4 linked regions of the Astyanax mexicanus genome follow. The protein of the gene in region 1 purifies or fractionates together with the protein of each later gene. This does not show direct contact. Links are inferred from orthologs where the notes say so. Each region holds a gene or a part of one and is shown on either strand. Other genes may lie near its edges. The genes, in order: stub1, nadsyn1, pparg and bag2.

Evidence for each region.
Region 2: the proteins of stub1 (region 1) and nadsyn1 purify together in Homo sapiens (co-immunoprecipitation; 3 studies listed by BioGRID and IntAct, with this or other methods). This does not show direct contact. The link is inferred for Astyanax mexicanus from reciprocal best matches to the Homo sapiens genes STUB1 and NADSYN1.
Region 3: the proteins of stub1 (region 1) and pparg purify together in Homo sapiens (affinity purification with western blotting; 3 studies listed by BioGRID). This does not show direct contact. The link is inferred for Astyanax mexicanus from reciprocal best matches to the Homo sapiens genes STUB1 and PPARG.
Region 4: the proteins of stub1 (region 1) and bag2 purify together in Homo sapiens (affinity purification with mass spectrometry; 7 studies listed by BioGRID and IntAct, with this or other methods). This does not show direct contact. The link is inferred for Astyanax mexicanus from reciprocal best matches to the Homo sapiens genes STUB1 and BAG2.

Annotation. Positions count from the first base shown.
Region 1 is NC_064413.1:56,075,579-56,083,457, forward strand, and holds the start of stub1 (E3 ubiquitin-protein ligase CHIP), read right to left. Parts: upstream 3,004-7,879; 5' UTR 2,669-3,003; intron 1,313-2,668; 5' UTR 1,196-1,312; coding exon 1,076-1,195; intron 1-1,075. UniProt on the Homo sapiens protein: E3 ubiquitin-protein ligase which targets misfolded chaperone substrates towards proteasomal degradation.
Region 2 is NC_064423.1:34,232,230-34,239,195, reverse strand, and holds the start of nadsyn1 (glutamine-dependent NAD(+) synthetase), read left to right. Parts: upstream 1-3,956; 5' UTR 3,957-4,022; coding exon 4,023-4,107; intron 4,108-4,252; coding exon 4,253-4,313; intron 4,314-6,437; coding exon 6,438-6,554; intron 6,555-6,665; coding exon 6,666-6,719; exon of another isoform or gene 6,720-6,730; intron 6,731-6,966. UniProt on the Homo sapiens protein: Catalyzes the final step of the nicotinamide adenine dinucleotide (NAD) de novo synthesis pathway, the ATP-dependent amidation of deamido-NAD using L-glutamine as a nitrogen source.
Region 3 is NC_064431.1:12,904,205-12,911,687, reverse strand, and holds the start of pparg (peroxisome proliferator-activated receptor gamma), read left to right. Parts: upstream 1-4,466; 5' UTR 4,467-4,688; coding exon 4,689-4,698; intron 4,699-7,483. UniProt on the Homo sapiens protein: Nuclear receptor that binds peroxisome proliferators such as hypolipidemic drugs and fatty acids.
Region 4 is NC_064414.1:16,371,582-16,379,532, reverse strand, and holds the start of bag2 (BAG family molecular chaperone regulator 2), read right to left. Parts: upstream 3,002-7,951; 5' UTR 2,809-3,001; coding exon 2,684-2,808; intron 1-2,683. Other genes in the region: E3 SUMO-protein ligase ZNF451, read right to left, coding at 6,214-6,254, 6,910-7,062, 7,432-7,951. UniProt on the Homo sapiens protein: Co-chaperone for HSP70 and HSC70 chaperone proteins. Acts as a nucleotide-exchange factor (NEF) promoting the release of ADP from the HSP70 and HSC70 proteins thereby triggering client/substrate protein release.

The sequences.
Region 1 (7,879 bases):
TACCTAAACTTGTACCTTTGCTTGTTTCTGGTTAGCACTTTAAGTAATTTTAGTAAAAAAAAAATAAAAAATAAAAAAAATTAAAAGAGGTAAACAATTTATTGGTTGGTCTGTGTGAATAAATCAACTGGAAAATGAAAGACATAGGAGACCATTGATAATCCTCCTCGATCAGGAGCCCCATGCAAGATCTCATCCTGTGGAATCAAAACAATCATGAGAACAAGGAGTAAAAATCCCAGAACTACACAGAGGGACCAGATGAATGACCTGCAGAAAGCTGGGGACCAAAGTAACAAAGACAAACTTCAGTAAAACACAGAGAGGGACTCAAATCCTGCAGTGCCAAACATGTCTCCCTGCATAAACCAGTACATATCCAGGCCCGACTGAAGTTCACCATAGAGCATGTGGATGATCCAGCAGAGGATTGGGAAAATATCATGGTAAGAATTAATGAATGAAGACATGTATCATGAGATTTTAAGCCAAAACCTCCTTCCATCAGTGAGAGCCTTGAAGATGGAACATGGCCGGGTCTTCCAGCATGACAATGACCACAAACACAACACTCGGGCAACAAAGAAGTGGCTTTATAAGAAGCATTTCAAGGTTGAAACTCTGTGTTATTACTGCCTCCTCTAGAGGGAATCTGCATGGAGGAATGGGCCAAAACTCTAGCTATAGTGAGTGCAAACCTTTTGTTACTGACCAAATAATATTTTCCACCATAATTTACTGAATTTATTTACCTATGATGAAAATTACGTACCTCTCTCATCTTTGTAAGTTGGAGAACTCGCACAATAATCAGTGGCTGACTAAATACTTTGTGTGCTATTCTAATAATGAATTTACTTCCATAAAGCACTCAGCTAAAATAATAAAGTGCTAAAAAAGTGAGTATAAATAAACATTCAGTATAAATAATCTTTACTTATTCATACTTGCATACAATCCTCATCAATTACCTAAAAGTACTCCTATCAGAGTATTGAGTATTGATATTTAAATTAAAAAGATTAACGATATTCCCCCAGTTCCCAGTCCCACTCTCTGGCTCCTCCACACTTACGATGGCTTTGCTGTAGCAGGCCGCGGCCTCCTGGTACTTGCGGCAGAGGAACAGGCGGTTGCCCTGCTCCTTCAGCTCCTGCGCTGAGGAGGAGCTCTTCTCCGGGCTGCCGGCCTGCATCTTCTCCACAGGCTCTGCGGTGGCCGCTCCCCCCTGCTTCCCAATCCTGTTCCCCGTCTCTTCGGCTGGGGCACCGGCGCTCCCGGGGTCACCTGGAGAGATGCCTCTGCCCTCGAGCTGCAAATCCAAAAAGTGAACACAGGATCCAGACTCAAATACAACTCTAAAACAACTCAACTAGTTTTCTCTGGATGAACAATAACTCAATCAGTAAAAAAAAATTAAACGGCCAAGGGTGGCAATATATGAACATCTGGGAAAGGGGATCATTATCACTGGTTTATATTCATATACATAAACTTCAGAACCATGCATCGATTAGAGCATATTACAGTGCGCTTTATTATTACAGTACTCTCGCTCCAGTCCTATCACAGAGTGATTAAATTGCAATAAACACACGGAAAAGGAATTATGCTGCCTTCAAATGGTGTTGGAAATATCATATTTATGAGAGGAGAGCACATTAAGGCCACCACAAACTCTGAACAAACTGTATTTAAAAGTGGGAAACTCGGATTTTTAGATTAGCACAGAGTTTCCCAGTTGGGGGCGTGTCAGTAACAAGAGGTCAAAAAATTAATAATAATTTTACTGTTATTTAAATTGATAAATAAATTAAATAAATTGATGCACACTTGAACACTTGCATGTTGTGATTAGCTAACTAATAAATCAAAAGTCTAGTATGATTCATAGTTCTAATGGGATAAAACCATCACTTAACTAATGCGTGTCTTTATCACTCTTTATACTCCTGGATTAGGGCAAAATAAACCTGCAGGTTTTTTTTTTTTTTTTAGAATCATAAACCAAAAGTATAAACAAAAGATTTTCCTAATGGCGTCCATTTCCACCCGACCAAAATACACTTGAATGCATGTCGAGTAATTACGACATCCAACCTAAAACAAAAGAGTTTTCCAAGGAGGACGTGAAGGCAGCAATAATGTATTATGTGGAAGCGTCACATTACAATATGCTCTTCCAATCATGTAACCACACACATGGCACAGGGAGCGGATAGCTTCTACAGGTTTACTTAAAGTGAAATCCAAGGCTTCTTGGCATTTAAATCCCATGTTCTGCTGTTTATATCGTTTTGAAGTGGAGGAAGATAGAGAAAGAGATACAACCTATAGCAAAGATGGAAGAAAGAGATGGCAGAAATAATAGCTGACTATTCGACTACTCTGTTAAATAATCGACTAGTTAGTCGATTAATCGACTAGCAGAATAATCGTTAGCTGCAGCCCTAGATTAGGGCTGCTCATCAGGAAAGAGAGAGCAAAAACAGGGCTCTAATGACACAAAACGCTTAAAAATGACTAAAAACAGATAAATATTGAATTAATTTATACACGAACGCGCTAATAGTGGAGTTAATAAGCTTTTATCCGCTGTAAGAAGCTGAAACTCGCTGTTATTTGATGGAATAGGCCTGCTCCGGTTCCGGCTGCTGTCGGGACCTACCGGTGGTAAACTCAGCGCTCTGCCCGGCGCCCACGCTCCTCCCCCGGTCACAGCGCCGCGCAGACTCCGCCGTTAGCTTAGCTTAGCCTAGCAGCTCTGTCCGGCAGGCGGGCTGCTCGCTCCGTGCGCCCCGCGGTTTAAGCGACTCGCGGGTTCATCTCCGGTTTCTGCTCTTTATAATAATAAACCCAGAACTGCGGTCTTTCTCTCCGCGGCTACAGGGAGCCGCTCATCCTCGCGCCGCTGCGGAGCCGCTAAAGCTAAAGCTCGGCTTGTTTTCCACCGTGACGTACAGCCGCGGACATGTACCCGGAGAACCGAGTCCCGTCAGCGCACTGAATCGATTCAGTTAATGAACACGCAGTTTACAGCTGTTCAGTTCAGACTGACTCCTGATTCAGAGAGTCGGTTCAGCTGGATTCTCGGTAGATACTGTTGCTAGGCAGGACAAGCCTTCTTCCCCTGTAATAAAAAAGTGTATTTAAGTATATTTATTAAAAGTATAATTAACATAGAAAAACACGTACTTTTAGCATTAAAATCAATACTTACTTAAATACATACTAAAACGGAACCCCTAAGATGACACCATGTAAAAATATTTAATAATGCATGGCCACGACTTATTAAGGCATAGGAATGAGATCCTAAGGTGTGGCCAAAACTTATGGCAACTTAAGTTTATTTCTACGTAGCCCCTTATGTGACGTCATGTAAAAAAAAATAATTATGAGTGGCTATGACTATTATTAAGGCATAGGAATTAGTTCCTAAGCTGTGGCCACAACTTAAAGCACAGCGACTCAGTTCTGTTACATCAGCTCACAGAGGGTTCAAGGGAATGTGGGAAAGCTATTCGCTCATGTGCATTAATTTACAGAAAAGCAAGCTTTATTATTCTCTGGCTACAACTTAATTATGTTGTTCCCACACCTTAATTATCTCATTCCCAATAACTTGTGGCCACGCATTAGGATTGTATATTTCAATTGTAATTAAGCTATATTTAAATACAACATAAAATTAGGAGTTTGTGCATTTGAGTGCTTTTTGTATAACATCTGTGAACTTAATTAGATTCAAGTTTTTTTTTTTAACATAATTTTTAATACACTTTACAAAGTATAATGTAAATTAAAGTACACTTTAAGCAGTAGTCAATGCCTAGCACTGTCTTGTGTGGGAGTAAAAAAGTAAATATAGTGAGAAGTTCCAGTGTGTATATCTGTAAATCAGTGCAGTGTGAAGCTGATTTAACACAGAACACAGAAAATTTGCTGCAGCTCTTTTAAACACAGTGTTTTCAATGGGACGTGCAGCGCATATGTACACATAGTAAACAGAGTCACACAACTGTGAGCAGTAAACGCAGCACAGACCACGCTCTTAGAGCGTAAACAGCATGAAGCAGCATTTGTTCATAGCTGTGGTAATTATATCAGATTAAACTGCACCTTATCAGCAGTTTAGCTCAAATAAAAGAAGTATATTTGATATCTGAGTCGGATCGAGACCAGATCACGTTTTCACCACAAGTGAGAATTACTGTGTGATTATTGTTTTCGCACCTGCTCAATTAAACCGCACTAAGAGTACAAACCAATCAGAGTCTGTTTTAACCAGAACAAATAGTGCTGGTGTGAAAGCTGAGTGTAGTGTGAGCTGGGCGTGTTCTGCTGAGCTCATCCAGCTGATCCAGGGCTTTCTCCTCTCTGGACTCCACTCTGCTGACCCATCGCTTTCCCCTGGCAGCACAGCTCCTGTTAGGAGGTGCCTCCTTTCAGACATTAAAATACGACCACTTTATTTTATTATGCTTTATTTTATTTTATTCGTTTCTGCAGCGGTAACCCAGAGCAGTAGAGAGGGATGACTGTTAATTGCTAAATAAATTAAACCATATTTGTCTGCTGTCTGTCTTGTAAGCTAAAAAAAAATGTAAGTCGGGTCATTTAAACAGTTAAACCACACTAATAATCTAATTTGTATAATGACCACTTATCACTGTATTCCCCAAAAATAAATATATTTTCACACAAATTAAACAGAAAGCGCTACAAACATTTTCTTTTTATTTATCAAGAGTTAATGCATTAGTATGATTTGTTGTTTAAATTTTCATATTCAATATTTATATCAGCTAAAAATCTGCTGTTAAATTAAATAAATGATCCTTTATATGTTTTTTTCACATTTATTGGAAATGCAAAACAAATCACGTCAATTACTGTTCAGCGATATACCAGTAAAAGAGACAATTTAATAGGCATTCAACACAGACACAAAAAAAGGCAAATATTGTTTTTAATTTATTGAGTCTAATTTCTGTATATATTTACAGATTTTAAATCATTATTTAGTGTTCTCTAGTGTTACATATATGCTATTAAATATAGCATATTCACTTTTTTTAAATATATTTTAATACTGTTTGATGTTTACTCCTTTAAAAGATCTATCATCACACAACGTTTACTTTAAGCTTAAATAGAAAAGTCGTTTTTTATAACTATTTTGTATTAAAACAGACTATTACTTTAAATAGCAATATGTAATATTTACATTGGGTAATATTACTGTGTATTATTCAAATAAATTATCATCACAATAGCTGAAATGTACGCTGAATTAATTTTTTTATTTCAGTTTTTCAGGTGAAGCTCCCACGCACTCAGGTGATCTGGAGGGGAAAGTCAGCTGACCTCACATAGGCCTGTGGATTGGCTGCCTTTTGGATGATTCAAGCAGGTGGTCTGTTTGTAAAAGCCTTACTTAAACTTAAGTTATTTTCTGTCTTTTTTTTATTTTATTTTATTTCGTTGTGGTTCCAGGTAAGTTAGCTGGGGGCTGGGTTAAGATTTGTTTTGTTGGATATCGTGGCATTAAGCTCACCCTGAAGTTGTTGTTAAATTTTCTTTTTGTGTATTTAAGTGATTTGTCTTGATTTTAATACATATTTACTGAAAACTGACGTTTATGTTGTTGCCTCCTTAAACCCTAGACGTTTTGATTAGTTGGGAGTTTCTTCCCTCAAAATATAAAGTGGGTCTTTGCAGCTCGTTTGAAGTAATAAAACGTGTTAGTCTTGCTTAAAAAATTTAGAAAGTTTCTAACCTTTAAAAAAAATGCTTTTATTGTGGTAGTTTCTGCCTCTGCAGCTCCCCTTCAGGTTCAGCTGTGCTATAGGCCAGGATGATGTTTCTGTGTACTTTGGTACACAAACACATCACAATATGCAAATCAGTCAATAATCAATAATACATATCAGAGGCACACTACTCAGCCCAATCAGCTCTCCTTCCTGCTCCGCATCTAAACCCATACATCACCTATAGTGCCCCTCTCAAACCACCCCTCCCATTTTTAGCCTTTTTCAACTTTAAAATCAGGATGTGTGTTTTGGACATTTATGGAAATACAAAACAAATAACATCTCGTATCGATTCAATATGGTATTTTACAGGATGGGTCGTAACCGGACATGCAGAGACAGACGGGTTCAAGTTCATAAAATCCATTTAATGAGTTAGATTAGGACAACATGAATCATAACTGCATTATAAAAGAACAGGAACATCTGAGACCTGAAAGAATAAACCATCAGAGAACTGGACTCGGCCATGAATCACTCACTCACTCGGCGTTACTGATCTCTAGCCTGGTCTTCTGCTACTGGAGGAGACAGCAGGACTTCTTCCTGTCTGTTTAGGGAGGAGAACGTGCAGCTACGTTTATTTACACACTCACACACACACACACTCATACACCCACACACACATTCACGGGCTGTCAAACTGACCTCAGAGCAGCTTTAAATAAAGCCTGAGCCACCTCACACACACTCTCTTACACACTCGCACTCACACACTCTACGAAACAGTACAGGTACACGGTAAAGAGCTCCACCGTCTAAACAGATCAACATAAAAAGGGGGAACAAAACTAAAATAAAAGAAATGAACATAGTAAACAGAATAATTGGCTGAAAACGTGGCGAATTCTGTAAATGCAGCCGTTTACCCCCAAATACTAAACACTATAAAGACTGTAATGCGACCGAACGACGGCTAGCTCAGCACTCTTAATTCCCTTTACCTACAGTTCTGCAGTTCAGTGCTCAGTGTAGAGTGGTGATCTCCAAGCCCAAAGTGTTCAGACCCAGCCCAAATCAGATTTTTACCAGATCTAGACTCAATCCAGATTAATGTTTGATATAGTCTGGACATACAGAAAATACATGAAATAGGATTTTAGCATAGTTATCTAGTATCCTGATTGATTTGTGACAACCTGGACATTAATAAATCACATGAAAACGGATTGTTGATATATGAAGACTAATCCAGATTGATATTTGATGGTCTGTATATCCAGATATCTCATGAAATTGGATTTTTGCTGCATCTAGATTGCATCCAGATTTTTTTAAAAATATTTTGTGCAGCCAGAAACCACATGAAATAGGATTTTAGCATGGGTACACAGAGTCTCATTTCATGTTTGACAATCTAAACATCCAGATATCACAAAAAAAATGAAAATGAAACATGAAACCTAATCCAGATTGATTTTTGATAGTGTGGATATCCAGAAATCTCATGAAAATGGATTTTTGCTGCGTTTAGATTGTATCCAGGTTTAATTTTGATATTATGTGCAGCCAAATTGGATTTTGGCATATGTACTTAGTATCCCGATTTATTTTTGACAATCTGGACATTAAGAAATCACATAAAAACGGATTGTTGCTATATGAAGACTAATCCAGATTGATGTTTTGTAAGATGGTCAACCTGAAACCACATGAAATATATTCTAATTAGTTTGTTCATCAGATCTGAATCCTATTTGGAGGTGGTTTGAAATCTGATTATAAATCAGATTTGTTCAGATACATCTGAGTCTAATCACTAATCACCACAGCACCCATGGCAGATACAAATTTGTGGTGTTCAGACATGCAAATCCGATCTAAATCACTGTACAATCAAATATCAGCCTCTCCTGGAGAGCTACGTACTTTCCTCGGGCTTAAAATCCAACCCCACTAATCCCAATCCCACTTGACCCAACCAATCAGCTCCATCCGAAGCCGCTGATTGGCTGAATGGGAGTGTTAGATTTGGGCTGGAGTGTAAACCTGCAGGAAGGTAGAGCAGCTCTCTGAGAGAGGGCTGGAGATCACGCTTCACACGGCCTGATCCACAGAAA
Region 2 (6,966 bases), on another chromosome or scaffold:
AATTTTAATTTGACCTAAAACATTTGATTTCCTAATGCCTCAGAGTCCTGAAAGTACATAAGGAGACCCATATCAAACAAATGAGGTAAAATATTACACATTAGTAATTTATTAATTTATTGAGGAAAATCAAAATTAGCAAATTTTCCCATCGCTAACCAAAGGTATCAAAAGTATTTACATTCATTACTCAGGTGAAAGTATAGATACTAGGGTTTAAAATACTTCTGTAGAAGTTAAAGTATTAATTCGAGCTTTTTATTCAAGTAAAGTTTAAAAAGTACTGTTTTTAAAAAACTACTTATAAAAGTAGGAGGAAAAATAAGGCGGAAAATGCCATTAAGGACAAAAGCTTAGGCTGCACCACAGGGTTCTATAGCGCACTCTGAAAATGTAATTTTGAGCATCTCCAGGATCCAAGTGTCACTTTGGGCATCTACAAATGTGACTTTGGGCATCTTCAAGTGTCCTTTTGGGCATCTCCAAGTGTCACTTTGGGCATCTCCAAATGTGACTTTGGGCATCTCCAAATGTGACTTTGGGCATCTCCAAGTGTGACTTTAGGCATCTTCAAGTGTCCTTTTGGGCATCTCCAAGTGTCACTTTGGGCATCTCCAAATGTGACTTTGGGCATCTTCAAGTGTTCTTTTGGGCATCTCCAAGTGTCACTCTGGGCATCTCCAAATGTCACTTTGGGCGTCTCCAAGTGTCTTTTTGGGCATCTCCAAATGTGACTTTAGGCATCTTCAAGTGTCCTTTTGGGCATCTCCAAGTGTCACTTTGGGCATCTCCAAATGTGACTTTAGGCATCTTCAAGTGTCCTTTTGGGCATCTCCAAGTGTCACTTTGGGCATCTCCAAATGTGACTTTGGGCATCTTCAAGTGTTCTTTTGGGCATCTCCAAGTGTCACTCTGGGCATCTCCAAATGTCACTTTGGGCGTCTCCAAGTGTCTTTTTGGGCATCTCCAAGTGTCTTTTTGGGCATCTCCAAGTGTCACTCTGGGCATCTCCAAATGTCACTTTGGGCGTCTCCAAGTGTCCTTTTGGGCATCTCCAAGTGTCTTTTTGGGCATCTCCAAGTGTCACTTCGGGCATCTCCAAGTGTCCTTTTGGAAATCTCCAAGTGTTCTTTTGGGCATCCCCAAGTTTCCTTTTGAGCATCTCCAAGTGTCCTTTTGAGTGACTTTGGGCATCTCCAAGTGTCCTTTTGACATCTCCAAATATCCTTTTGGGCATCTCCAAGTGTCCTTTTGGGCACCTCCAAGTGTCACTTCGAACATCTCCAAGTGTCCTTTTGGGCATCTCCAAGTGTCCTTTTGGGCATCTCCAAGTGTCACTTTGAGTATCTCCAAGTGTTACTTTGGGCATCTCCAAGTGTCCTTTTGGGCATCTCCAATTGTCCTTTTGGGCATCTCCAAGTGTCACTTTGAGTATCTCCAAGTGTCACTTTGGGCATCTCCAAGTGTCCTTTTGGGCATCTCCAAGTGTCATTTTGGGCATCTCTAAGTGTCCTTTTGGGCATCACCAAGTGTCCTTTTGGGCATCTCCAAGGGTCCTTTTGAGAATCTGCAAGTGTCCTTTTAGGCATCTCCACGCCGTGCGTAAAATAGCGCACCGCGCGTAAAAACGCGTGCCGTGCGTAAAAGTGCGCGCTGTGCGTAAAACCGCATTCCGTGCGTAAAAACACGCGTCATGCGCAAAAGCTCATTCTGTGCGTAAAAGCGCGCGCCCTCTATAAAAACGCCTGAATTCCCCACAGCTATGGAAAAAAACTAAACGCATAACAACTTCTCAGGTTTTGCTTATTTTATTTCATATTTAAATATTTATATAGTTTTTTTTAATATCTATATTATTTATATTAATCTGAATAATAAGCTCTGTCATTTGCAACAATCCAGGGTAATGTGGGGGCCTTTTTATCACACACAACTTTCCACTAACACTGCTCTTAGTTTTAATAATTATAAAAAACACATTAGTCGATAGTTTAAAATGCGCTCATTACCTCACAGGGTCCTTAATCTGTAAACACACTCCCGTAGATCACACACAGCACCCTTCCCTACTGTCTAGATATATTAATAGATTTAACAGATACCTTTGTAAACCTCTGTTATCTGTCTGTAGTGCTAATTTTATTATTTTGCACTGGTTGTTAAAGAGTAAAGTAATCTAGATTTCTGCTTTAGTTACAAATAAAACGTGTTCAGATCATCATCAGACTAACAATTACAGGCAATCATAACGTAACTATCACACTAATAACCCGTGATAAATAAAGAAGGGTGGGACTTTTATTTTGGCGTGTATGTAAAACTGTGCAGAGTATAACGGAAGGACAGTAGTAGAGACAGAGCAGAGCTGCTTTATGGAGAGCATGGCCACTCCCGATCTCCCCCGTTATATCAGTAAATGACTGCTGACCGATAGAGGGAGCCCGCGAGTTCAGAATGAAAAGGGGTTAATGGAGCTAAAAGGCTAAAATCTCAAATTAAAAATAATAACCAGAGGTGGAAAAGTTACAGAAAAATTGTAATTAAGTAAAAGTACCTTTACTTTCCAAAAATTCTACTCAAGTAAAAGTAAAAGTACCCATCTAAAAATCTACTTGAGTAAAAGTAAAATTTAAAAAGTACTTTGAGTAAAAGCTACATAGTTTCTTTTAATTATTTGATGTAAAAAAGTACAACAAATCATAAATTAAAATGTTTTTATAAACTATTATTCCACATAATAATTTTATTTAGACCTTTCAGGCAGTATTTGCTCAGACCGGGGTGGTCTGAGCAAATACTGCCTGAAAGGTCTAAATAAAATAAAACATTTTTGAACAAGTTGCATAGGTTTCTAAGATCTTTGATTCTATGGTATGGAAGTTTTGAAAGCTGACAGCTCTGTCTGGTGGGGCACATTTTGCATTGCATGAGGACGTTATTGCCTTGTTATTCCACAGGTCAGCATCTTTTTTTTTTTATTATTCAAACAATTGTTTTTTTTCCCAGCATTTTATTTTTTGCTCAGTAACGGGGAGTTTTCCAATGTAGTGAAGTAAATTACTTGTGTCAAAATGTACTTGAGTAAAAGTAAAATTACCTATTTTAAAACTACTTTAAAAATTACAAATTACTCATAAAATCTACTCAATTACAGTAACTTGAGTAAATGTAATTCATACTTTACACCTCTGATAATAACTAACTACTTGTTCTAGATATTTTTTTTACAAAATGTAATGACGTATTTTACTAAAAGAAGACAAACTAACTTGTATTTATTCCTTTTCTACAGTAAACAGGATTTACGCATTAAAGGTGATAGTGTTACTGCTACTGTGTGCTGACTGACTGGTGAGCTAGAGCACGTTTAAAGACTAAAATATTGTAAAAAAAACAACAACAACAAAAAAAACAATAAAATAAATAACCTCAATATTCTTCAAATATATGAGCAATTCTTTAGTTCTTATGATTACGATTTTTAGTTCTTAAATAACAACTGTTTTACACAAACGATTGTTTTCTTTACATTTAGTTTCATTTTTTATTAACAGTAAGGTGTCTTATATTTTTTTTACTAATTGCATGTAAAAAATTTCAATTGTTAATTCTGTTAATATTACCGTGGCTGCTGGTGGTGGCGATAATAGGAATAGCCTAAGTAATACATAAATAACATAATTTTAATTTACAACTTTTATGCTTTGGCATAATTTTGCAAAGTTCATTTGCATTGTTCATGTGCTCGTTCCCTGCTGGGAAATGGGATTACGATTTTAGTTAGTTTAGTAAATAACATTTAATTGTTATTTTTTTGTTTTTTATAAATAGTAAAAACTTTATAAATAGTATATATAGTATAAACTCATTAATTTTGGTCTCTCTCAGGAGCGCCCCTGGTGGTGGGACACTCTGGAATCAGTCTCGAGTGGGTGATCTGGTGTGTAGAGGATGTGTGGTATTGATAAAGTTACAGTGTATCTGAGCGCTGGGTTCTCTGTAGAGCTCTTTAAACAGGTAGAATGGGTCGCAAGGTGACGTTAGCCACGTGCTCTCTGAATCAGTGGGCTCTGGATTTTGATGGGAATCTGAGGAGAATTCTGAACAGTGAGTTTTTGAAGCTGCAGTGAATCAGTGAATGAGTCAGTCTGTATTTCTGCAGCAGAACAGTGCATGCTGTGAACATGCAGTACAGTGCAGTACAGTAATTTACACTGACCTGATTAACTCTGACTTTACTCCTCATTAACAGGTATTGAAATAGCCAAAGCCAATGGAGCCAAATACAGACTGGGACCAGAACTGGAAATCTGGTAATTTACTTTATTACTTTACTGTCTGATAGAACTTTGATGTGAAGTGATTATCTACACTGCCTTTTTTCAAAAATAAAAAGTCTCCACCTGGATTTAAGTAAGTAAGTTAAGTTAAAAGATGTGGGGTTGATGCTGCAGTTGGTCTGCAGGTCTAGGTTCAGCAACAGTATGTGCTGAAAAATAAGGTCTGCTGTAGGGGTGGGCTATAAAATAATATCATTTGGAGATGCCCAAAGTGACACTTGGAGATACTCAAAGTGACACTTGGAGATGCCCAAAGTGACAATATCAATAATATGATACGGAACCCCAATTACTGAGATATTAAAAAAGAAAGAAAGAATTTTATCAGATTTGTAACAGTAGCCAATGATCTAGAATATCATGATACTAATAATGCACTCCAAATATCTCCATATATCCAGGATTAAAGTAAAATAAATGATACTGGACAGATATAATCTGTCTCTAGTAGATATATAATAGGAAATGAGAACAGTTTAAATTTTTCTTTTGCTAAAAGCAGCAAAAAAGTAGTACCCTGATGTTGAGCTGGACTATATGGCCAAAACAAAAATCGTATTTTTTTTTTCTTATCAATTTTTTTCCCCTACTAAAAATAAAACAAGTTTTTTACTATTTTGTTTTCATTAAATTTCCCTTTTGTGGTTAAAGTGCAACCAGAAACAAGCAAAAAACTATTGTAAACAGTGAGAACATCCAGTAACTTTTAGAAAGCTTTCTCCAACATAGTTTAGGTACTGACACAATGCACTCGGTGGTGGAAATTAAAATTCAGAGAAAAAAGATTTTCATAAAAAACATCATCCTTAACTGTAAATTTGAATTAATCATTATAATGAATATATCGTCCAGCTCCACCCTGACTATATTTACTTTCTTGCTCCCATGCCAGACAGCTCTGACCAATCAGAGGAGACGATGTGCTCGCGTGGTTTATTGGTGCACATTCTGGTGTATTTATGTTTATGCTTGTGTAAAACTAAACTACACAGAGGGAGAAAACGCACAAACACTTACTTACTGATCTGTTACATACATACATACTGTAGCTACCCAGTGTAAGCATACTGTTTAACATTAGTTACAGAAGAACAGAAGAACAGTTATGGAGTGATTAAATATATATGGATAATGGAATATATAAGCAAAGAAAATCTCAATAGTGACCCTGTGTTTAAAGATAAGACATATAATAATCCTTTATTAATCACACAGTGGGGAAAGTTACAAAAAGTAACAGTGGTACAGAGAAAAGAATAGAAGAACAGAAGAAGTGTTGGGAAATAAATACAGAAGAATATGAAAATACTTAAAATAAATAAATCTATATAAATCTAAGATTAAAGGAAACATGGTTCCCCAGTATGCATGTGTTATGGTAGGCAGTGGCCAGTGATTTTGCACATGGATTGTTAGTAATTAAATAGATAGTATTAAATAAATATATTGCACATATTGTGCTACATGGTGAATTTAGCTGGAGATCATGTAATTAAATTTAAACTTGTTGCTATGTTGCAAATAAATACTTTATAAATTACTTATAGAAGGGCTGCAATGATTAGTCGATATAATTGATAATGTTGATTTTAATTTTCATTTAAATTTGTTGACTACAAATTTTATTGTCGGCTAATCATTAATTTGTAACAGTACTGCATTACACAAAGTGCTGGGGACAGAAGCGCAATGGGAGATAAATGGGGGTAAATGGCTCACTCACACAGTTTACACTCAATTTAGTCTGTGTCTCCAAAAGTGCCCAAACACAACAGATCACATATTTACTCACTAAATAATCAGCACTTTCCATGTTTAAACAATATCTAGACATTTAAATGCTTTTTAAATCTCATGTTCAGCTGTTTCTGTCGTTTTTAGAGATGGAAGACATGCCAGAAATAATCACTGACTAATCGATTAATCAAAAAAATAATCATCAAATTAGTCGACTATCAAAATAATCATTAGTTGCAGCCCTAATTTATAGCTTCTACCACCAAATGTTATTAAAATGCCTTTTTTATTATTGTTTCATTTTATTTATATATATTCATATTTTTGTGTTGTGTATATTTTTTGTGTTTTGAACATTAGTGGATATGGATGTGCTGATCACTTCTATGAATCAGACACTCTTCTCCACTGCTTCCAAGTCCTCAAAGAGCTGCTGGAGTCTCCGCTGACCCAGGACATTATCTGCGATGTTGGCATGTGAGTGTTAAAGCTGCTGTATAATATGTATAATGTTCAGTTTAGGAGTGATCACTGTCATTACTGATTCTGATAATGAGTAATAAATATATTTCTTTACTCTTTTTACAGGCCTGTTATGCATCACAACGTTCGCTATAACTGCAGAGTCCTTTTTCTCAACAAGTCAGTCTTTGGTATTGACAATCAAATGAGTATAAATCCTCTGTATTAGTTTACAGTATGTCTAAAATGTTATGAATCCCACTCATTCAAAGTTTGTTTCTCTCTCTGCTTCACATTGCTGTGAGGATTTGTTTGTATGTGGGCTCAACAGTTAGTGAGGTAATAGTGTAAGGCAGTGTCTGTGGTCCATGGCACTCAGCACATATGTTATTGAGTTAAGTTCTGTCTGTTTTTTTATGCTATTTTT
Region 3 (7,483 bases), on another chromosome or scaffold:
ATTTTGGAGCTGCATTGCTGTGAGGATTTGATTGCATTTAGCAACATGAACTTCGTGAGCTCAGGCAACTCCCCAAATCATTTCATCTAAAAGTATTGAACCATCATCATTCCAGTCCTATTCTATTGGCAATATTTCTCTCCTACAGGGACTAGATAAGCTGTGTGTGTGTGTGTCTCAGCAGTAATAGGCGCAACTAAAAGTAGCTAAGTCCATGCTGCACTCATTCTTTTTAAGACATAGCGTATGTCTTAGAATGTGTTAATTACACAGTTTTTTATTTTTTTATTTTGTGATGTCATGAATATATATAAAAAATATATAAATTTGCATTTACATGTGCACCAATCAGCCATAACATTAAGATCATCAGCCTAATATTGTGTATTTTACACCTGGAAGCATCCTGTGGTATCTCCTTTTGTTAAGTTGTGAAGTGGGCGGAACCTTCATGAGCATCAGTGTCCCTTTGGTGCTCATGATCCTGACTTAAGTTATTTCGGTAGGTTCTGATCAGTTCATGCTGAGGTGTTTTGTCGTCTAGAGCATCAAAGTTTGGTTTCTGTTAAAGTGTCTCAGTTTCTGACGCTTGTCCATTTTTCCCAAACAACAAATCAAATTTAAGAACTGACTGTTCACTCTCTACTTAATAATGAAAAGGTTTGGGCACCCATGATCATTTTTAATGATTTTCCTTAATAAATCATTGGTTGTTTTAATCAGCAATTTGAGCAGTTTACCTGCTCCCCACAGTAAAATTTAGTGGTGGTTCATCATGCTGTGGGGCTGTGTGGTCAGTGCAGGTACTGGGAATCTTGTTCAAGTTAAGGGTAGCATGGTTTCTAGTAGGGTTGTGCCATATTGTATCATACCTGATAATATCACCCAAAAATTTGAATACCGTGAACGATATTATATCCTGAAATATCGTGTCATATAAACCCACCCCTAATTATCACAACATAGTACTACTTTTTTGGCGTTTTTAGCAAAAGAAAAATTCACACTGTTCTCATTTCCCATTATATATCTACTAGAGACAGATTATATAACTTTAATCCTTGATATAAAGAGATATTTGGAGTGCATTACTAGTATAATGACATTCTGAGTCATTGACTTCTTTTACAAATCTGATAAAATTATTATTTTTTTTAATATCTCAGTTAGCCATATCATGTTGCATGCAATAATACAATTCTAAATAATTTTTCTAATTCAGTGTTTTGTCATATCGCCAAAAGTATCGTTATCATGAAAATACCATGAAATATCGTGATATTATTTTAGAGCCATATCTCCCACCCATAGATTCCAGTCAATATCAGCAGATTCTTGAGAACAATGTTCAAGAATCAGTCACAAAAACCCTAAACAGTTTAGTTCTCGATTTCCAAAAATACAGTATTATTTTTTTATTATTAGTTTATATATAAAGATTAGTGGTTAATTTAGTGTTGTGTTTAAACACCACCCACTAGATATCAGTGTTATAGTGTGATGTTAGATGTCTTTGTTCTGATTGGATTAAAACTATTATTCTACACAGATTTTTTTCCCATTATGTTTAAGTTCTGTCTCAATACTACCTGTCTCAATATTTTGTTTGGATGATTTACTTTACCAGAAATAATTGAGATAAAATATTTTATTGTCATTTCAAGACACTGCATTTAATGCCACTGATAATAGTGATAATGTTGAAAAGCTTATTGAACTTTACATTGTTGAGAATATTCATACATTGGAATTGAAATAAAAATGTCTGGTCATTTTAAAGATCTTAAATAAAACAAAACAAAACAAAAAAAAATAGAAACATGTCAGCACATTTACATAAATGGTTTCTCCTTGCTAAGAAAAACTAAAATAATTATGACAATATTGATGTCAGTAAAAATGATTGACTAGCTGTGGATATTGGCTCTATAGGCTTTTTAAATGTAACAGTAGTGCAGTATTGAACATTTTTCCTCCATCAATCATCTCAATCATCTCTAAAAACAGCAGATGTTCAGAAGGAAAGTCTCGGGATTTCCCCGCACACCATGTTTCCCAAATCACTCAGAACAAATCAGGGTTCACGCGTGCCAAGCCTGACAAATCTATGCCAGACTACCCAGCATGTGGTCTACCAGTCTCGTAGTGTAATTCCTGTATCAAAGTGACGAACACCTGCCCAGCAAATTCAGTAGTAGCCGTGTGGGCGGCGAGACAAGCCGGTGTCTGGGCTCCGTCTCATAGCGAGAGGGCACGAGTGACACTCAGTGGGGGAGATTTTGCTGGCAGAGCGGAGGTCAGGAAGTCACATTTTCTCTGTATGCAGAATCTTGAGGTCACGTCCTTTTCCATTGAAAATGTCGCACCTACAGTGTCGCGACCAAATCCTGAACCTGAGCCACACTCTCCACTTTTCAGAGAAACACTGTTTCAGAAAGTGCTCAAAGAGACCAACCAGCAGCACTGCAGTGAAGAGTTTAGAGCACAGAGATGAAGCTCTTTCCTCTTTTCCACTCGTTTGCAATTACAGCAGATACAACTATCCAATCACGTTTCACTACACTACCAAGTTCATTTCACACCAGATATCAGTCTATAGACCTTAATAAGCTTGATAGGCCAAATATTTGGCAGGCAAAATTATTCTGCCAGAAATGGCAAAAAAAAAATTTTAGGCATTTTAGGCTCTCTTCCACATCATTGAAAATACCAATTTATTTAAAGTTTTCTTATGCAGTGGTGGAAAACCCACACTCCTCCACATAAACTGATCACAGAAAACATCCTGTTTACACATGTATTAAATGAGGACAAGATTCATCTCTGGTCACCCCCAAAAATCGCCTCATTGATCTTTAATGTCAGGTGTAAACAGGATCTATGAGTAATTTAATGCTTCTTTAGTACCATGATTATACCTATAAAATGTATTTTTGCTTTGCTTTGTCGTAATTATATTTTTTCAATTATTAAACAAACTTAAATATCAGAAAAGATGATTTGAGTAAATACTTTTTAATTGTTAATATGATTTATTAAAGGAAAGAAAGTATCCAATCCAATCTAGCCCTGTGTGAAAAAGTGTTTGCCCCCTAAACTTACTACCTAACTCTAATCAAGCTTTACCGATAACTGGCAACAAGTCTTTCACATTTCTATCGAGGAATTGTGGCTCACTTTCTTTGCGGAATTGTTTTAATTTAGCTTGATTGGAGGTTTTCGACCATGAACCACAGCATCTCAATCAGACTTTGACTAGGCCACTCCAAAAGCTTCATTTTTTTTTTCCAAGCCATTCAGAGGTGGACTTGTTGTTTGTGTGCTTTGATCATTGTCCTGCTACTGAACCCAAGTACGTCTGAGCTTGAAGTCTGGAAAAGATGGCAGGATATTCTTCTTCAGGATTGTCTGGTAAACAGCAGAATTCCTGGTTCCATCTATTACAGCACGTTATCCAAACCCTGAAGCAGCAAAGCAGCCCCAGACCATCACACTACCACCATCATGTTTTATGTTCAGTATAATGTTTTTTTTATATATATATATCATGTGTTAGTTATATGCCAGATGTAATTTGATAATTTGAAAAAAGTAAGTTTGACAAACATGCAAAAACAAGAAAAATCTGTAAGGGGGCAAATACTTTTTGACGCCACTGTAGATACGGCCAAAATGCAATTGTAAACACACAAAGACACATTTTAAACAGATACAAATCCGATCACTCAAACGACTTCAGGAGGTGGTCTGAGAACAGTTAAAACAGACTATATTCGATCAATCAAACCACTTCAAGACATGGTCTTAGATGCATTTAATCCAATACAAATTCAATCACTCTGACCACTTCAGAAGTTGGTCTGAGATGCAGATATAACAGATACACAATGGATTACTTAAAACATTTCAGTAGGTGGTCTGAGAGACATTTAACACATTTTTGCATATTCCGTCCCACACAGCAGTTGGAGTCCAGCTTGGTAACACATATGACTAGCAAATATAAACATGTGGTAAAAATATAATCAGGGTGAAGATCAGATACTATCGCTATGAACAAGCTCATTGCAGATCCAGTTATAGTTTCTTTAAAAAAAATTGTAGAGGGGTCTTTAAATATTCAAATTCACAAAATTCTATTGCAGAAATTGTACATTATGGAACAACAAATAGTTATTTTGTGTCATTGCCTGAAGAACCTTTTGTAGTACGTTTATTTTTTTGGACTGCAGGGAGGTTGTGCAATGTTTTTACCCCCTATGCTACACCTAGTCTGATACTGTTTACCCTCCGTTTCACCATTTACGGGAATTTTCTGCAGACAGGCGTTAGAGTTGAGGAAAGATCTGCTGTAAGAACACCCTGGAGGTAAACAGTCTGAAAGTTTAGCACTGTACATTCCTCTGGTCTGAGGAAGAGGAGTGTGGTATGCAGGTTGTGCTGAATTATCTGGTCAGAATCCCACAGCGAGAGGAGCAGTCAGTCGCCTGTTTGAGGGCTTATCAGCCCGCCTCGCTGAGATGAATGTGGAGATGTCGTTGAATGTGGTCAGGCAGGTTCGGCTGGTGTCCTCTACTGATGATCCCGGCTCTGCTGCAGACTGTAGCTACGTGAACGGTAGCACCTCTCAGCTGCCAGACCTGTGATTTCCCTCAGCCTCAGGACTATGTGACTGTGACGGGTGGTAAATGGAGGTTGGTAAGTGGATTTTCTGGGGTTTTTCTTGTGTATATTCCTTGCTCTCATTTCTTGAATATTAGTTGTCCACAAAGAACAGTGTTTCCTGGTGTGTTCAGCGCATTTTTAGAACTTTGCAATCCCTGTTTTAATGCAGATTGATTTTTTACCTGTTGAGTTTCAATGGTAAATAGGAAGCTGATGTGGATCATGCATACATTTTATTTTATTTTATTGGCAGTGCTGCTGGACAATAATGCCCTCAAACCTTTCAGGTGTTTAAACCACTTTTGGACCAAACCAGTTTCAGTCTGTGCTTTTACCAGTTATGTGGATCATCAGGATGATCAGCCTGAAGTATTGATGATTAATGGTGCTTTCACACCTGCCTTGTTTGGTCGGAATTGTCAGAATTTCAGTTTGGGTCTGAATCAAACCAGCAGGTGTGAACAGGACTGCGAACCACACAAGCAGCTGTTTGATTTGGAGAGTTTGGTCCAACCAAAAGAGGTGGTCTCAGTCTAGATCTACTGAAATAAGGTCCGGTTCATCTGCAGTGTGAAAACACTTCTCTAGATGGTTTAGACCTTCTGACTTTCTAACTTATTACAGGAAGTTTATGCAGTCTTTAAACAAACCAGAAGAAAAAAGACCCTTGATGTGCAGGATGCAGCATTTAGGACACAAACGCTTAAACTGGAAAATCATTAATTTACTGTAACAGTAGGTTAACCCTTATTTATAAACAGAAATAAAAGGAATCTGAGAAGAATATTTTCAGATTCTGACAGAGAGCTAGAATCGGCCACACCAGGCAAAGCAACTCGGCATATTCATATCTAACATTCTGCAAACCAATAAATATTAAGTATAGAGAGACTCCACCCATGTAGCTGATGATGACAGGATGTAGTAAAGTTCTTTATTCTGCTCACTAAACTGCAGTGTGAAACCGAAACTAACTGGAGCAAACCTACACAACATAACAAAGACATGAACTCTGGTGCAGACTCTGTGATGAAGATAATGATGAAGTTACTAGGAACAAAACATTTTTTTAAATGTACACTAGTTTGGCTAATATTTATTGAGCTACACATACAGAAGTAGTGTATAATGCATATGCAACAGGCGTGGAGTTGTAGAGGTTCCTAATGATGTCCTGCGAATGATGTCCATCCCATGCAGCCTCAATACTCTTATGCAGTTCCTGCAGATATAACAGTAGGGGTATATGAATGTTGACAGTGCATCCAATAGCATCCCTCACAGTTTCAATCAGAGATGAATGAGTATTGTACTGTTGCACACAGAAAAGATACGGGGTTCAGAAAAGATAGGGCCACTAGTTGCAGGTCATCATTTAAGTAAAATGCCTGTAATGAAGACCAAAGATGCTCTAGCATTATACAAAATGACACCCCACAATGTGGTCAACGTGGTGAGGAAGTACTTTTCGTACAAGACAATTATTTGAAAATAAATGGTGGATAATGATGCAAGTGCAGCAGTGATGTCAATGACGTGTTGTATATTGGCTTAGCAGTGCTTCACACTTTTAAAACAGGTTAGTATGTTAAAAAGGTTGTGTACTAATCTGCCAAACCAGCACTACTGAGTTTAGTACTCAGTGCTAAATGTATAATAATATATTATATAATAATATATACCTGATAGTATTAGTGTGAAGTACACATTTGGGACGTAGCCCAGATTTCCACAAATGTTTGACATTTAAAGGCTTTAAATTCTGACAGCATTATATAAATACTCCATCACTCCATTGAACTTCTCCTTTGTACTTGATCTGCACTTTTAATACAAGAGGTTTTTGGTGTATCCGTGTGAAGCTGTGTAACACTGTAAGTGATGAAACTTCAAATATATGTAAAATCATTGTTTTCCACACTTCATCTTGGCCTGACCACCGCTGTTGTTAGGAAATATCAGTGGAAAACATCATGTTCTTGTTGCAATCCCGTCCCTGTGGAAGGGATTTCACATCATCACTCTTTCCTTCACATTCTCTCCATCTAACTGAATCAGAGCTCCTCTCACAGACCCTACACTCTACCCTACACAAAAAACGGGTTCCATTGAGTACGGAATAAAGGGTTCTTTTAAAATAGAAGAATAAATGAACTCTACATTAAACACTATATAGGTCCTACTCTGTATATAAGTCCACCTTCCAAGGTTTTCCAAATGGGCCAAACAAAGCACCATTTAACCAAACAAAACACCATTTAATTTTACCTTCTACAGAAGATTTTCTACCAATCTAAAGAACATTAAGCCAAACAAAGCACTATTTGAAAAACACATGGTACATTGATTTTTCATTCTTCTAAATAGAACCACCTAGAAAGTTTTTTTATTTAGTTTTATTAGTTTTTATTTAGTGGTTCTTTAAGGTTGTCTTGTTTCCAAATACAACCATCTACAGGAGGTTTTTAATCAGTCCAAAGAACCCATAACCAACCAAAGTGCTATTTCAAGAGCATTCAATGGTTCTTTAAGGGATCATGGGTCTATTCACAATTATTAAAGAAGTAGAAGTATTGAAGCATGTAGGTCAAGGTCAAGGTCCCATATAATGTAGAAACACCTATAAAAGGGTTTTCTTCAATGTGAAAAAAACAAGCAAAGAGCTTTTTGAGCTTATAATGGGTGTTTATGGAACTATTTTAAAAGGACAGAGCATCTACGCAGGTCTACTGTATGTAAAGCGGGAGAAACGTCTGTGTCCGAGCACAAAGCTAAATGTAAAGCTTTCACCTGTACATTTGTGTACATTGCAAGATCA
Region 4 (7,951 bases), on another chromosome or scaffold:
CTGTAAGGTTGCTTGAACTATAATTAAAAATATCTATAATAATAATAATAAAAAAATGCAGATTTTGTGTATATTACCTGCCTGTCTTTCTCTGTTGCGTTCGGCGTGACACATTAGTTTCCGCCTGTTCTCGTTTTTACGCTCATTCTTGGGCTCCCTCTTCTTATAAAGGCGTTTTTTCACGGTCGCGTCCCAATTCAATAGCTGGAGCTATTGCGCGACCCTGACAACACGGGTTCGATCCCGCGTGAGGAGCAGTGTGTTTATTTATTTCTTTATTTCCTTACCGCAAAGGAGAGCATTTGGTGATCTTACACCACACATGATTGGTCTGTGAGTTTACTGCGCCGCAAAGCACGTATACAATGAAATCATTTTAAAAGGTTTGGGTCCGCATTGGACAACATTTGAGTTGCCTGTTAGTGACCTCTGTACTAGTGCCTCTTTTCAGATAAAGAGTTTTCCCCAGTAAACTTTTGCTCTATTTGTGTATGTATTACATATTTACATTTACACATATAATGTTTCATTTGGTTAATCAGTGTATTCTTTTCTACTGAGAACAAGAGAACCAAAAACATTTTCATAAAATGATTATTAGAAATAAAAATCCATCCTAAAGCAAGAAGACGGATCTGCTGGTGCAGCTCGTATTTATAGCCTCACTGAGCAGCAGCTGCATTTCTGCCAGAGTCAACAACTCCACACAACTCCACTGCTTTAGTTCATCTGACCCGGTTATAAACTTTACTACACAGAGTTTACACACACACACATACACACACACACACACTTCTACTACTGTTATCATCAGCGGTGTGAGATTTTTTAAGTATTATGGCTTTTAGAGGAGTATTAAGGGAATGGGAGTATTGGAGTAATATGAGTATATTTAAAGGAGCATTAAGAGTATTAAAAGTGTAAGAGTGTTAGAGTAGTAAGATTAATAGAGGAGTATTAAGAGTGGGAGGGTATTAGAGTAGTATAGGTATTATCATACCTGTCAAGTCTCCCGTTTTGGCCGGGAAACTACCGTATTTTACTCCTCTTTCCCGCCGTCCTCCCGTATTAGTATTTTCCCGTAAATTTCCCGTATTTTATTAAAATAAAAAAATATATATTATTGAGGATACAGGGCACTGACCGCTCTGTGTCTCTTAACCAATCGTGGAGCCGGTTCAAGGAGAAAGTCCCGCCTTTCAGGAGAAACAGCCAATCAGCTTCCAAGGAGGGTCAGTGTGGGGAAGCCCCGCCCTCCTCGCTGTGAGTTCAGGCAGCTAGTTGGAGCTGCTGATGTTAAAACATACATGCAGCGATTTTTCTAAAAGAAAGGTAACGGTAGTCTAATCATGGAAACTGTGATGAGATTTTTCTGATAGCTGCTTAAAAATACTCCGAAATAAAACACAGAGATTAAACCTTTTAAAATAAAAAAAAATTACAGCTTGTGACTCAGTTTAACTAGAAATGTGGAGAGGACCGACATTAACTGAACTGATCAGGGGTGGAGTGATCAAAAGGAAGAAGTATTAATTAAAAATTATTGTGTAGGCCCCTTAGGACTAATTTTTACTGATGGAATATATCTGGTCCATGTCCTTTTAGTAAAAGCTCATAATACCATTTTTAGGTCACCAACAGTCATTTTGCAGAATTTGTGCACTCTTTGTTCAATTTTAAATCCATTAAATAAATAAAAAATATATCATATAAAAGAGTGCATTTATTACAAAAAAGACATGAAATCTTAAATAAAAAAAATATATAGAAAAGGGTTTTTAATTTGGCTGTATTAAAAGAATGACATATCCACAACATGTCCACAACATGTTCAGATTCTGATAATCTAATTGTAGTGTGTAAGTGGTTCACATGTGGTTATTTTAGATTTTTTGTAAACCTGTTTTAAAATGTAAGAGATACTGAACCTTCGTTGGGCTGGTGGGACGGCTTTAAGCGGACAGAGGAAAATATCCCTTATTTTTAAATCTAAAACTTGACAGGTATGGGTATTATGAGTATTAAGAGTGTGAAAATATTAGGTATTATGGGTAATAGAGGAGTACTAAGGTGTGAGTATTAAAGTATTATGGGTATTAGACGAGTATTCAAAGTGTGTTAAAGTATTATGGGTATTAGACGAGTATTAGGAGAGTAGTAAGAGTGTGAGAGTATGGAGTATTAGAGTAGTATGGGCATTATAAATATTAAGGGTGTAAGACTATTATGAGTATTACAGTATTATGGGTATTAAAGGAGTATTAAGAGTGTAAGAGTATTAGGGTATTGTGAGTATTAGAGGTGTATTAGAGGAGTATTGAGAGTGTAAGAGTATTAGTAGTATGAGTATTAGATGAGTATTAAGGTGTGAGAGTATTAAAGTATTATGGGTATTAGAGGAGTATTATATAGGTATTAAGAGTGTGAGAGTATTAGAGTAGTATTAAGGTGTGAGTATTAAATTATTAGGGGTATTAGATGAGTATTAAGGTGTGAGACTATTAGGATTATTAGAGTATTAAAAGTGTGAGAGTATTAAAGTATTATGGGTATTAGAGGAGTATTGAGACGTGAGTTTTTTTTTAGTATTATGGGTATTAGAGGAGTATTGAGAGAGTAAGAGTATTAAGATTATTAGAGTATTATGGGAATTATTAGTATTACGGTGCGAAAGTAAACCCACCTCGTTTCCAGATCGTCCAGACTCTCCAGGAGGCGCAGAGAGCGGTCCGCCATGGAGACAGTGCGGCTGAACTTCCCGCTTCTCGCGGCTTCGTTGATCTTTGCGCTGATCTTGGCCTGAGCCATGGCCGCGGCTCTCAGTGCGGAGACTCGGCTCTACACGGGCGGGTCTGAGGGGGTCTCAGTGCGGAGACTCGGCTCTACACGGGCGGGTCTGAGGGGTCTCCTCTCTCCGGCTCCTTCTAGCGGTTTCTCTGACGGACAAACATCTCCTAACATCTCCAAACATGGGCTGGATCTCCCGGGGTATTCCCGCCCTCGGGGGGAAACGGAAGGGCGCTGAGCGGCGGGGGAGGATCAGAGCAGAATAAACTGAATTATTAGCCGCTTTAGCTCCATCTCTTAATGTATTTATTTATTCAAACTTAAATCTGCCTCTATTTAACTCTGCCTCTATTTAAAATTGCCTCAATTTAAATCTGCCTTTATTTGAAATTGCCTTTATTTAAACATTGCCTCTATTTACCTCTGCCACTCACTTTATTTAACTCTGCCTCTATTTAAAACTGTCTATTTAAAACTTTGCCTTTATTTAACTCTGCCACTGATTTTAACACTGCCTCTATTTAACCCAGCGTCATTTTATTACTGCCTTGCAATGTTAACACTAACATTGCCTCTATTTACCACTACCTTTGTTCAACTCTGCCTCTATTTACTACTGCCTTTATTTAACACTGCCTCTTTTTACAATGGCCTCTATTGAACTTTGCCTTTATTTAAGACTGCCTTTATTAAAAACTGCCTCTATTGAACTCTGCCTTTATTTAAAGCTGCTTTTATTTAACGCCGCCTCTACTAAACCCTGTCTCTATTTAAAACTGCCTCTATTTAAATCTGCTTTTATCCGCGCCTTTATTTTAACTATGCCTTTATTTAACATTGCTTCTGTTTAACTCTGCCTTTATGTTAAACTGCCTCTGTTTAAATTTGCTTTTATTTAACACTGCCTTTATTTAACATTGCCCCTATTTAACTCTGCCTCTATTTTATGCTGCCTTTATTTAACTCTGCTTTTATTTAAAACTGCCTCAATTTAAATCTGTTTTGATTTAACACTGCCTTTATTCAACACTGACTTTATTTAACTCTGCCTCTATTTAACCCTGTCTCTATTGAACTCTGCATTATTTAACATTGCCTCTATTTAAAATGGCCTTTAACTCTGCCTTTTATTTAACACTGCCTCTATTTAACTAATATTTTAATAATGCTTTTTAATGCTGCCTTTCTTTAACTCTGCCTCTTTTTAATGCTGCCTTTATTTAACTCTGCCTTTAACCATGCCTTTATTAAACTGCCTCTACTTAATGCTGACTTTATTTAACACTGACTTTGCTTAACTCTGCCTCTATTTAACGCTGCCTTTATTTAATTTTGAATCTGCCTTTATTAAACACTGCCTCTATTTAACTCTGACTTTATTTAACATTGCCTTTATTAAACTCTGCCTCTATTTAACACTCACAAAACTTTCAGGAGAAATGCACTCTCCACAAATAATAACTATTATAATATAACAATGATCATAATTAACATAGAAATAGAATATTAACAAAATACATATAAAACTGTAATGTGTAATTGTTTTGTGTATTTTTGTATTAATACCGATACAATCAGGTGCATAATTTGTATAATTCTGTTAAGAAATTATGCTTAGATAAAATTAATGAATTTTACCCTATGGATGTATGATTATCACCACAGATTATTAACAAAGATCATGACCTCAGATTATTACATTACATTACATTACATTACATAACATTTGGCAGACGCTTTTGTCCAAAGTGACTTACAATATTGAGTTGCAAATAATAGAAGAGGTTAAGTACAAAAATAATAGAAGTTAAAAATAAAGCATCTATAGATAGGGCCTTAAGGAGGTCAGAGGGAAATAATGGGATAGAGGAGTAGAGAAGAGGAAGAAGGAGATGAGGTTAGAAGTAGTTAGTGTGTTAGAGGTGTTAAGAGAGTAAGTGCTCTTTGAAGAGCTCTGTCTTCAGGAGTTTCTTAAAGATAGCAAGAGATTCTCCTGATCTGGTAGTAGAAGGTAGTTTGTTCCACCATTGGGGAACTCTGTATGAGAACAGTCTGGATTGCTTTGTGTGAATGTTTGGCAAAGCGAGGCGACGTTCATTGGAGGAGCGCAGCGGCCGGGAGGTAGCGTAAGCCTTCAGGAGTGAGTGCGGGTAGGAAGGAGCCTGTACTGTCATCACCTTGTAGGCGATTGTAAGAGCTTTGAATTTGATGCGAGCATCAACTGGTAGCCAGTGGAGCTCAATGAGCAGCGGAGTGACATGTGCCCGTTTTGGTTGGTTGAAGGAGTTGGTTGGTTTATCAGAGTTCATCATCAAAGATTAATATCTGAAATTATCACCACAGTTTTATCCTCAGAAATTAGTACCACCCTTTACCAACAGAGTTTATTATCTGACATTATTATTAAAGATTACATTTGGGGTTCTTGGTCTAAGATAAATTTCTATATGGCCCAAAAATGGGCTTTTCCAAAACTCTCCTCTGTCACATTCTGTGGTAAATTAATATGTTCAGAACTCTGTAAATTTTATTCTGTGTACATTCTGCTCCTGAACATCAGTCAATCCTCTGAACTGAACTTATGTCACAGCAACACAGAACAAGAGGGGACTTTGGCACAACACCAGGGAATGAGAGTGTTACAGCAGGAAATCACTAAAACAAGCAGCACAGTATTTATTTCAGAACCAGGTTCTAGCACCAGTGTAGTTACTGTGCTATTAGCATGTTTAATTAGAGATGCAGTAATCATACTGGTCAACTTCCCTGGATATACTAACACACCGGCTACACCAGCAAACGCAAAATACAAAATACATTTGCTGTGTTGTTCAAGAGCCAATCAACCAGCCAGTTTACTCCCAGCCAGGCTCAGTAATGTGGGTTATAGTGGTTTGTTTATCTTATAAATATTCTGATTGTTTTTTATGTAGTGAATGATTGAGAGAAGTTTTTCCTTGTTTTAGTACATTAAGCCACGTTAAAATCTAGCATTGTTGTTATTAGGACTCTTAATTGATCTCATAATTCAGAGGATTCAGCGGGGTTTAGGAGCAGAATGTACACAGAACAAAACGTACAGGGTTCTGAACAGATTTATTTATAGAGATGAGTTTTTGAAAAGCCCATTTATTTTTGTTATTGACAAATGCAGCTTAAGACATGGAACCACAAATATGGCAATAAACATGACGCCAACTACAAAATGATCACACAGCTGCAGTGGTCTATTAGGGTGAACTAACAGCTGAACTAAACTCACTCATCTCATCAATTTCAGTTAAAATAATAATAATAAAAATCAGAAGACGACAAATAACCAGTTTAGTCAGTTAGTTCTTTATTTAAACTTCAGAGAACATTAACAACATAAAAAACAAACATACAGGTCAAACACTGTTTGAACTATTTTGCAGGTTTTAGCAATCAAAAGTCCTGCAGGCTTCTTTTCAGAGCTTCTTCCATCTCTGTAAAACACAGAAAATAAGTTAGCTAGCTAATTTACTCATTTATTTATTCAGAATTATCATTACCTGAAAGGTGATTACACTGGAATTACTAATGACTTACATTTACAAATATGTGTAGTAAGAACCTGTGCAGGTTTTCAAGACACTACAACATTTACCTAGCCCTGATAAAAACACATTCACCCCTATGAAATCACACTGTGCAGAGAAAGATTATTAAAAAGGTCTGATTTCTTGATCAGTGAAACAGTGACTAAACAATTGCCTCCTAACTGCTGATTTGAGTCAATGTGATGAAACTGCCTGTAATGATGTACATTTGATTTTACTCTTGAAACTCTCCTTTAACCAATAGGAGCCCAGGCCCAGTTTTAAGTAGTGGTTCAAATGTGTTAAATTAACTGAGCAGCTCAGTTCTCCTCAACACTGTACAGTGTCTGTGCATGCTACACCTCACAGTGCTCATCACCCCTCGTTACACCATTTTCCCACAACAACTCACTGAGTTACCAAACTGAATTAACATACCATATTGGTGGCACTTTTCACGCATGTAAAGCTAGCAAAATAAAAAATAAATATAAAACATTAAAAATAATTAGAAAAACAAAACTTGGGTAATTCTAAAACATGTACAGAAAGCCTGACCCACCTCGATCAAATTCGTTTGGTTTCTTTGCTTCCTCAGCACTCAAAGCCAAAGCAAGCTTCATCTCCTCTTCAAAGTCATCTTTAGACTCTTCCACAGATTCTTTATCATTGATGCTCGAAGGAACAACACTCTTCACCTGCTGAAACTCCACAGCTAGAAAAAGCAAGGACAACTTCAGAATAACTCAACAACTGTGTCTTTCTAGACACGTCAGAAAACATTTCTCTAAAATGTGATCAAACTTCATTTAAATATATATCAAATGCCCTTTTATATTTTAAGTATGGATTACATTGAATAAAAATCAGAAATCCAGTATCTTAAACTATTAGAACATTTCAAAAGTACCTCAGTCTAATTCAGCTTATGCAATCATGAAATCATGAAAAATCATGAGTGAACACTGCTGACATTAAAGTAATCATGAAGACGATCAACAAAACCCTCCACAAGAAGGGTGAGCCACAGAAAGTCATTATGAAAAGGTGTTTTTGCAGACAGACAATCAAGTCAAAGTCTTACCATTCTTGTCTGCTGAGATTTCTTCTGCATTCAAAATGTTGGTGACAGGGACTCCCTCCTCGCCTGTGCCGTTGTTTCTTAAGGACACACAGGGTTCCAGTAGGCAGTGATGGTTGTGGTAATGTGTGTGGAACCTGGGAACATCGCGGTGGCTCTCGGAACAGGACATGCAGACAACATCAAAGCTTCTGCCCAGAGCCTCGTGTTTTAGGTACACGTGTGTTTTCATCTCTGCATAGGAGCCCACTGTTGTCGAGCATTGGTGACAGACATAGCTGCATTTGCTTTCGCTGGCTAGCTGCTTCATGCACCTCGTAAAGGTGGACTTCTCCTCTTCTTTGGGTTTTTGGTAACCCATGCAGGGGCACAGCTGAGGAGGACTTTTGCTTGAAGAAGGCACATCGGTGGAACTGTCTTCAATCACATCCGTTCCATTCGTCTTGTTCAAGCAGTAGTAGTCCTTGCTGTGCAGACTAACATAATGCTCCTGAAACTCCTGCTCAGAGTCGTACAGTATGCT